Callithrix jacchus: one gene and its partner. The protein of the gene in region 1 interacts with the protein of each later gene in a biochemical or structural test. Links are inferred from orthologs where the notes say so. Each region holds a gene or a part of one and is shown in the gene's direction. Other genes may lie near its edges.

Evidence for each region.
Region 2: the proteins of SH3RF1 (region 1) and AKT2 form a complex in vitro, tested with the Homo sapiens proteins (2 studies listed by BioGRID and IntAct, with this or other methods). The link is inferred for Callithrix jacchus from reciprocal best matches to the Homo sapiens genes SH3RF1 and AKT2.

Annotation. Positions count from the first base shown.
Region 1 is NC_133504.1:22,144,290-22,148,107, forward strand, and holds part of SH3RF1 (E3 ubiquitin-protein ligase SH3RF1), read left to right. Parts: intron 1-518; coding exon 519-794; intron 795-1,608; coding exon 1,609-1,704; intron 1,705-3,818. UniProt on the Homo sapiens protein: Has E3 ubiquitin-protein ligase activity. In the absence of an external substrate, it can catalyze self-ubiquitination. Stimulates ubiquitination of potassium channel KCNJ1, enhancing it's dynamin-dependent and clathrin-independent endocytosis.
Region 2 is NC_133523.1:35,802,856-35,806,352, reverse strand, and holds part of AKT2 (RAC-beta serine/threonine-protein kinase), read left to right. Parts: intron 1-239; exon of another isoform or gene 240-351; intron 352-713; coding exon 714-836; intron 837-2,113; coding exon 2,114-2,242; intron 2,243-2,299; exon of another isoform or gene 2,300-2,358; coding exon 2,359-2,573; exon of another isoform or gene 2,574-2,642; intron 2,643-3,069; exon of another isoform or gene 3,070-3,093; coding exon 3,094-3,181; intron 3,182-3,297; coding exon 3,298-3,400; intron 3,401-3,497. UniProt on the Homo sapiens protein: Serine/threonine kinase closely related to AKT1 and AKT3. All 3 enzymes, AKT1, AKT2 and AKT3, are collectively known as AKT kinase.

The DNA of each region.
Region 1 (3,818 bases):
ATGTTCTCACTCATAGGTGGGTGTTGAACAATGAGAACACATGGACACAAGGAGGGGAGCATCACACACAGTTAAGGGGTACTAGGGGACAGTGGAAGGTAGGGAGGTTGGGGAGGGATAGCATGGGGAGAAACGTTAGGTGATGGGGGATGGAAGCAGCAAACCACATTGTCACGTATGTACCTATGCAACAATCCTGCATGAACTGCATGTGTACCCCAGAACCTAAAGTACAATAAAAAATTTATGTAAAAAATAAGAAATAAATAAAGGAAGAATAGAAGGTTAAATCATGGTTAGTGCATGGGTGTCGTACTATTCTTATTTCCCCATGGACAATTGTTTTGTATTTTTTATTTATTGGTAACACATATATTATGGTTTTTGTGTGAGATTTTCTTCAAGGGGTACAGTGTGGATTTGACCTTGACTTTAAAACAATGATAATGCAGCTATATTTTCAACGACATTTTAGGACAATCATTTTATTAAAATTTATCCTTCTTTTCTTTTTAAAGGGTATACCTCAGTTACCATGTGCCAAAGCATTATACAATTATGAAGGCAAGGAGCCTGGAGACCTGAAATTCAGCAAAGGTGACATCATCATTTTGCGAAGACAAGTGGATGAAAATTGGTACCATGGGGAAGTCAATGGAATTCATGGCTTTTTCCCCACCAACTTTGTGCAGATTATTAAACCATTACCTCAGCCCCCACCTCAGTGCAAAGCACTTTATGACTTTGAAGTGAAAGACAAGGAAGCAGACAAAGATTGCCTTCCGTTCGCAAAGGTAAAGATCGGATGCGCTTGTCTTCTGGGGGCCAGCTCTACCTCTGTACTCAGATACACGGGAATATAGCTTGTGTTGCCTTTTGCAAAACAGTACAATAGTTTTGTGTGAACTATTTCACTGTGCTTCTAAAAATGCCTAGAAGCAGTCTTTAAGTCACAAGGAAGGTAATTTTGTGCACAGATTTCTTATATGAAAGATTATTTTGGTTGATGCTCTATGTAGTGTCATTTTCATATTTAGAATCTGAATTTATTTCTAAGCCACTTTAAAGAGTGTATGCAGCACTCAGGGATTTTAAAGTACTGAATTATGAGTAATAAAATGAAATGTCATTACTTTCTTATTTTATATGTAGATTTCTTTGCTAAATGCATACAAGACTATATCTACCGAATTGATAAAATGGTTTGGAGTTTTCAGAAGAATATTGCAATTTTTGTGAAGAAAGGCAGTAGGAGGTGCCTTTGAGTAAGCGTTTGGTTTATTTTCAGAAAATGAGAAGCATCTGAGAATCAATCTAAAACACAAACTCAGGAGACTAGGGTAGGTAGCATGTGAGGTTGCATTTGTAGATCTTAACAAAGTTAGCAGCCAGCTCCCTTGCATAGAGTTCATAGCTTTACAACAGTTGGAAGGGATACCAGGTGGACTGGTAGCTACCATTTAATTCATGAACTAAAGATATATTATAGCATTTTTATTCATGTACTCTTTAAAACACGAGTCTCTTCATTGAAAAGGAAAATTAAATGATAAGCTTAATTGTACAGCTTAAATGATCAGGTAGATTAATGATCTGCTGTTTCTTCAGGATGATGTTCTGACTGTGATCCGAAGAGTGGATGAAAACTGGGCTGAAGGAATGCTGGCAGACAAGATAGGAATATTTCCAATTTCATATGTTGAGGTAAATTAATCTGTGGAAACTTGTGCTGTGTTACTATTCAGCTTACTAAATAAATCTTAATTATGCAATTTGAGTACTGAGAAGTCCTTACAACAAAAAGCACCACGAATGCCCTGTTACACATCACTGGACAGATCAGGAGGAATGCCTACATCCTATCCTGCAGTTATTGAAGACAGTGAGATACTTGAAACTCTTTACTTTTTCTCCCTGCTAAAAGCATTCCTATGTCTTGTTAAATGTCACTGTATGCTTACTGTCAGTCACCTACACTATTTCCTGTTTATTCCATTTGCTGGGTTTTGTGGGGTTGGTAAAGTTCTTAAGTAAGATGGAGATAAGTGTATTTGTTTATCTTTTACTTACTTTTTTTGTTACTTGCTGCGTCAGCAGAACCAGAACAGTGATTCACAAAGTAGGGCTTCAATAAACATTTGTTAAACAAGTCAGTGAATCTGCCTCCATCCCATCCCAGCAGCTACTTATCCCTCTCTCCCTTCTTTACGCCGCTTTGCTTGGAAAGCTTGTGGCCAAGCCTGACACAGTAAAGTCTTTTTAGAGAGTATGTGTAAAGTCACATAGTTGTAATATTATTATTATTTATATATATATATGTGTGTGTGTGTATATATATATGTATGTATATATATATATATTATTGCATTTTAGGTTCTGGGGTACATGTAAAGAACATGCAGGATTGTTGCATGGGTACATACATGGCTTTATTTATGTATAATGAATAATACCAGCTGAACATGAACAAAGGAGTTACAATTTATAGTAGGCTTTCATTACATCATGTATCATAAACTAAGTGTCCTTTGGGAATAAGAATTTCTTGCTGAAAATAAAACTGAAGGCATTTTCAAAGAATGGAGTGTGGCCCAGACAACCATTCAAGGTCAGTTGAAGCCATTGGAAGGCTCCTTTAAGAAGTGAGGTCTTAATAAATATCTGTGTGATGGATACGTAGGGGTTAACCAAGAGAAATGGAAATAGTGTATTTTATGGTAGGAGAAACATCCAGACAGGGAGACCAGCATGTGCAAAAGCCAAAAAGTAAGAGAGAGCACAAGATTGTTTGGGGAATTGAAAGTAATCCGGTTGTTTAAAATATCAAAGCACGTATCTTAGCCATGTGAAAATGAAAAACCACTGTCCCTTATTTTCCATCTTTTTATGTGAGGCATTTGCTTTGGCATGATTTTGAAAACTAAAATGACAAATCGTATCATTGTAGCCAGCACTCAATTTCCTCCATAGACAGTGAGATTGCCAACGTTTTCATAAAAAGTCAGTTTGACTACTGTATATCCATGGGAAAGTAATTCAGACCATGTATGAGCCTTGAATTTTATCCATACCCTTCAGATGTTCCTGTTTATTGAAATATTTTTCCTCCTTTGAAAGCAAACAACAGAAAAAAAATAAATAACCCTTAACTCACAGGTAGTCCTTCCTGTACATTACATACATATCCTGTGGGTCATGGAAAACTACAAGCACTTCCAAGTCTTTGAACAGTTACACTGAAGAGCATGGGTAAGCACAGGATTAGTAATGAAAGCCTGTCTTTACTTGTTGGGTATTATCAATATTACATGCTGATACTTGATTTGTGATGCATGAAAAGGGATTACTATATTTTTGTTATTGGGCAGGTACGGAATTGTGCAGATAAGCGTAAAAGATCCACCCGTGGCAAGTCCAGAGTCATTTCAAGTCACTTGACTCATTAGGATTATTTCCTCTGACTTAAGTTGGAAAGATAAACTTCTGCTCAAGTGGAAAATACTTTCATTCTTCTGCTGCTTTTCTTTCAAATGAGCATTTTCCTCACTTGAACCAGTATCTTGCCATTTGAGATGTGGTAAACAAATTGTCTATCTTTAAGAGCCTATGAACATTTCTTTGATGTCAAGCCATCAAGAATTGAACTTCCTGGTAGAGGGAGCAAAGTATCTAGGGATTAGTGGCACCTGGTTTAGCCCTTAGGGCAATAAAGTGGAGGCAGATTTCAATGGTAACCTACTGAAATTCAAGTATTTCAGTAAAGTAGATTGTCTTACAGGGCATTCTTAGCTGTGGTAAAGCAAACTATAGGAATAAAA
Region 2 (3,497 bases), on another chromosome or scaffold:
GTCATCTTGTGCCCCCTCCCTTGAGGCAGGTGGCGTCATCTTCATTTGGGGGGTGGGATGGTTACTGAGGCTCAGAGAGGTTCAGTGGCTCACCCAAGTTCACACAGCTAGTGAGTGGATAGGTCAGGGGCCAAACCAGTCCAGAGAGGTGTGAAGAGGGCTGCAGGGTGGCTGGCCGACAGCACTGGGAAGGATGGTCTTAAAGGCCCTAGAGAAAGTCCCCAAGGGTCAAAGCTTACCAGCTCTCTGTTCCCATGTCCTCCCGAAGTGGATTTACGCAGCCGCTCCACTCCCTATCACAAGGTCACCTCACTCTGTCACCCACTCTTCTCAGTGCAGCGGATGTCACGCCTGCATTGGGATAGGTGGTTTGCTCACCCATCTGATCTGGGCTTGCCCATGGCCTGTTGTCACTTGGTCATGACGTGCACTTCTCTTTCCCTCTGTGCCGGCCTCCCTCCTCTGCTGCCTCGGGCTGTCCCTCCCATACCCTCTCGTGGGTGCCTCCTGGCAGACCCTAGCCCTTCACGCCTAGCTCTGTGTCACTTGTGAGCTGCTTCTGCTCTGTGCCTTGCTTGGTCTCTCTGGCTGTCACTTGCTGGTTCATGATGGAGGTGTCACCGCATCACTGGGCTAGGGCAGGGGGCTGGGAAGCTGAGGGCAAGTGAGTGGGTGGTGGCCTGACCTCCTCTCCCCACCCCTTTCTCCCGTAGCTGTTCTTCCACCTGTCCCGGGAGCATGTCTTCACAGAGGAGCGGGCTCGGTTTTATGGTGCAGAGATCGTCTCAGCTCTTGAGTATTTGCACTCTCGGGACGTGGTGTACCGCGACATCAAGGTTAGTGGCAGGGTGTGCACCAGGCTGGCCCGTGGCATGCAGACGGGACTCACACCAGGGACGTGGGGCCGAGGCCTTCTGCCCTCATTCGCCAAGCTCTCCCCACCAAGGTCCAGGGTGGTGGTTCCATAGCAAGTGGCCCCAAGGTAGGGACCTTTCCAGGTCTCCATGAGCCCTCCTAGGCTGCTAGTGGGGTGTGAACTGGCACAGTCCCTACTTTATTTTTATTTATTTATCTGAGAAGGAGTCTCCCTCTGGTTGAGTGCAGTGGTGCGATCTCAGCTCACTGCAACCTCCACCTCCTGGGTTCAAGGGATTGTCCTGCTCAGCCTCCTGAGTAGCTGGGATTAGAGGTGCACCCTACCACACCCAGCTAATTTTGTATTTTTAATAGAGACGGGGTTTCTCCATATTGGTCAGGCTGGTCTCGAACTCCTGACCTCAGGTGATCCACCTGCCTCAGCCTCCCAAAGTGCTGGGATTACAGGCATGAGCCACTGCACCCGGCCTTGTTTTTTTAAACATAAAATAGGGATGAGATCTTGCTGTGTTGCCCAGGCTGGTCTCAGACTCCTAGACTCAAGCAATTCTGCTTCCTAAGCCCCCTCAAAGTGCTGGGATTACAGATGTTAGCCACTTTGTCTGGTTGCATATTTCATAATTAAAAGACAAAAAGTGTAGAAAAAAAGAAGAAAGCGGTGGCTCACGCCTATAATCCCAGCACTTTGGGAGGCCGAGGCGGGTGGATCACAAGGTCAAGAGATCGAGACCATCCTGGTCATCCCTGTCTCTACTAAAAATACAAAAAATTAGCTGGGCACGGTGGTGCGCGCCTGTAGTCCCAGCTACTCGGGAGGCTGAGGCAGGAGAATTGCTTGAACCTAGGAGGCGGAGGCTGTGGTGAGCTGAGATCACGCCATTGCACTCCAGCCTGGGTAACAAGAGCGAAACTCCGTCTCAAAAAGAAAGCTAGTGCCCACCCCCGTGTTCGAACTTAAGACCCTGTAGCTCTCAGTGGGGCAGTGGGTAGACAGGGCCTGGCTCCCGGATCTCCCTGCCCAGCTGTTCTCAAGTACCTTGAGGGTGGGCCAGGGGGCGGAGCAGGTTGGGTCTGGCCTCTCTTTGAGCCTCAGAGGTTGAGGCTGTGTGTGCTGGGCCCAGCCTGGCCTGAGAGAGTTGATATCTAGGACCCCCTGGCATCTTCCCCTGAAAGGAAAGGCTGGGGCGGCAGGAAGCCCTGGGAGCATGTGCGTGAGATACGTTGACTTTTCCAACAGCTGGAAAACCTCATGCTGGACAAAGACGGCCACATCAAGATCACTGACTTCGGCCTCTGCAAAGAAGGCATCAGTGATGGGGCCACCATGAAAACCTTCTGTGGGACTCCGGAGTACCTGGCGCCTGAGGTGTGTGAGGTTAGGGGTGTGGGAACATGTGAGACCAAGGGTAGGGGAATCCCAGACCTGTGTGTTTCCAGCCTCAGGGCCATGGGCCCAGCCCCTCATTTCCCCTCCATCCTCAGGTGCTGGAGGACAACGACTATGGCCGGGCAGTAGACTGGTGGGGGCTGGGCGTGGTCATGTACGAGATGATGTGTGGCCGCCTGCCCTTCTACAACCAGGACCACGAGCGCCTCTTCGAGCTCATCCTCATGGAGGAGATCCGCTTCCCTCGCACGCTCAGCCCCGAGGCCAAGTCCCTGCTTGCCGGGCTGCTTAAGAAGGACCCCAAGCAGAGGTGAGGGCTGGTGTCGGCCCTGCCCAGCCCAGCCCAGCCCAGCCTGGCCTGGCCCCGGCTGCTGCCACTGTCCCTGCAGCCCAGAGGGGGCTGTGTCCACAAAGGCACTCGCTTGTGATGTCACAGTGTGTGTTGTCCCCACACAGCCCCTGAAAATGCACTGGCCCTTAGGGAGAGCTTTCCCAGGGCGGGGCAGGCCATCCTTGACACTGCTTTGGTTTATGGGGACATTGAGGAACAGGGCAACCCTGGGCCTGGCTGGGGCCACCAAGCTGTATGTGGCAGAGCCAGAATGGAACCAAGACTGCCCTACTAACTCCCTTTCTGGACTCAGGGTGAGGTCAGGCTGACCCTGGGCACGTGAGCTCCCTCCCTGAGCCTCAGTTTCCTCCTCTGTGAAGTGGTGGTTTGTGGTCAAGACAGAATCATAAAGGCCATGCAGGGCCTGCCTGCGCCGAAAGCCTGTCTCCCTGAACCCAGCTGCTCTGGGAGGCAGGTGCTGACAGCCATCTCTGCCCAGGCTTGGTGGGGGGCCCAGCGATGCCCAGGAGGTCATGGAGCACAGGTTCTTCCTCAGCATCAACTGGCAGGACGTGGTCCAGAAGAAGGTGAGTCCCCACTGCCAGCCCCAGCAGGACCCTCAGGGGCCTGGCCCACCCATGGTGACCTTGGTTGAGGCCTCCTGGCATCAGGGTCCCTGAGCCCGGGCTCCTCTCCTCCGTAGCTCCTGCCACCCTTCAAACCTCAGGTCACGTCTGAGGTCGACACACGGTACTTCGATGATGAATTCACCGCCCAGTCCATCACAATCACACCCCCCGACCGCTGTGAGTGCCTGGGGCACCCTGCCGCGGTATGCCTGGCCCAGTGGTGGAGGGATGGGATCTGCTTTTAACCCACTTCTTGAGGAGGGCCCTCGAAGGC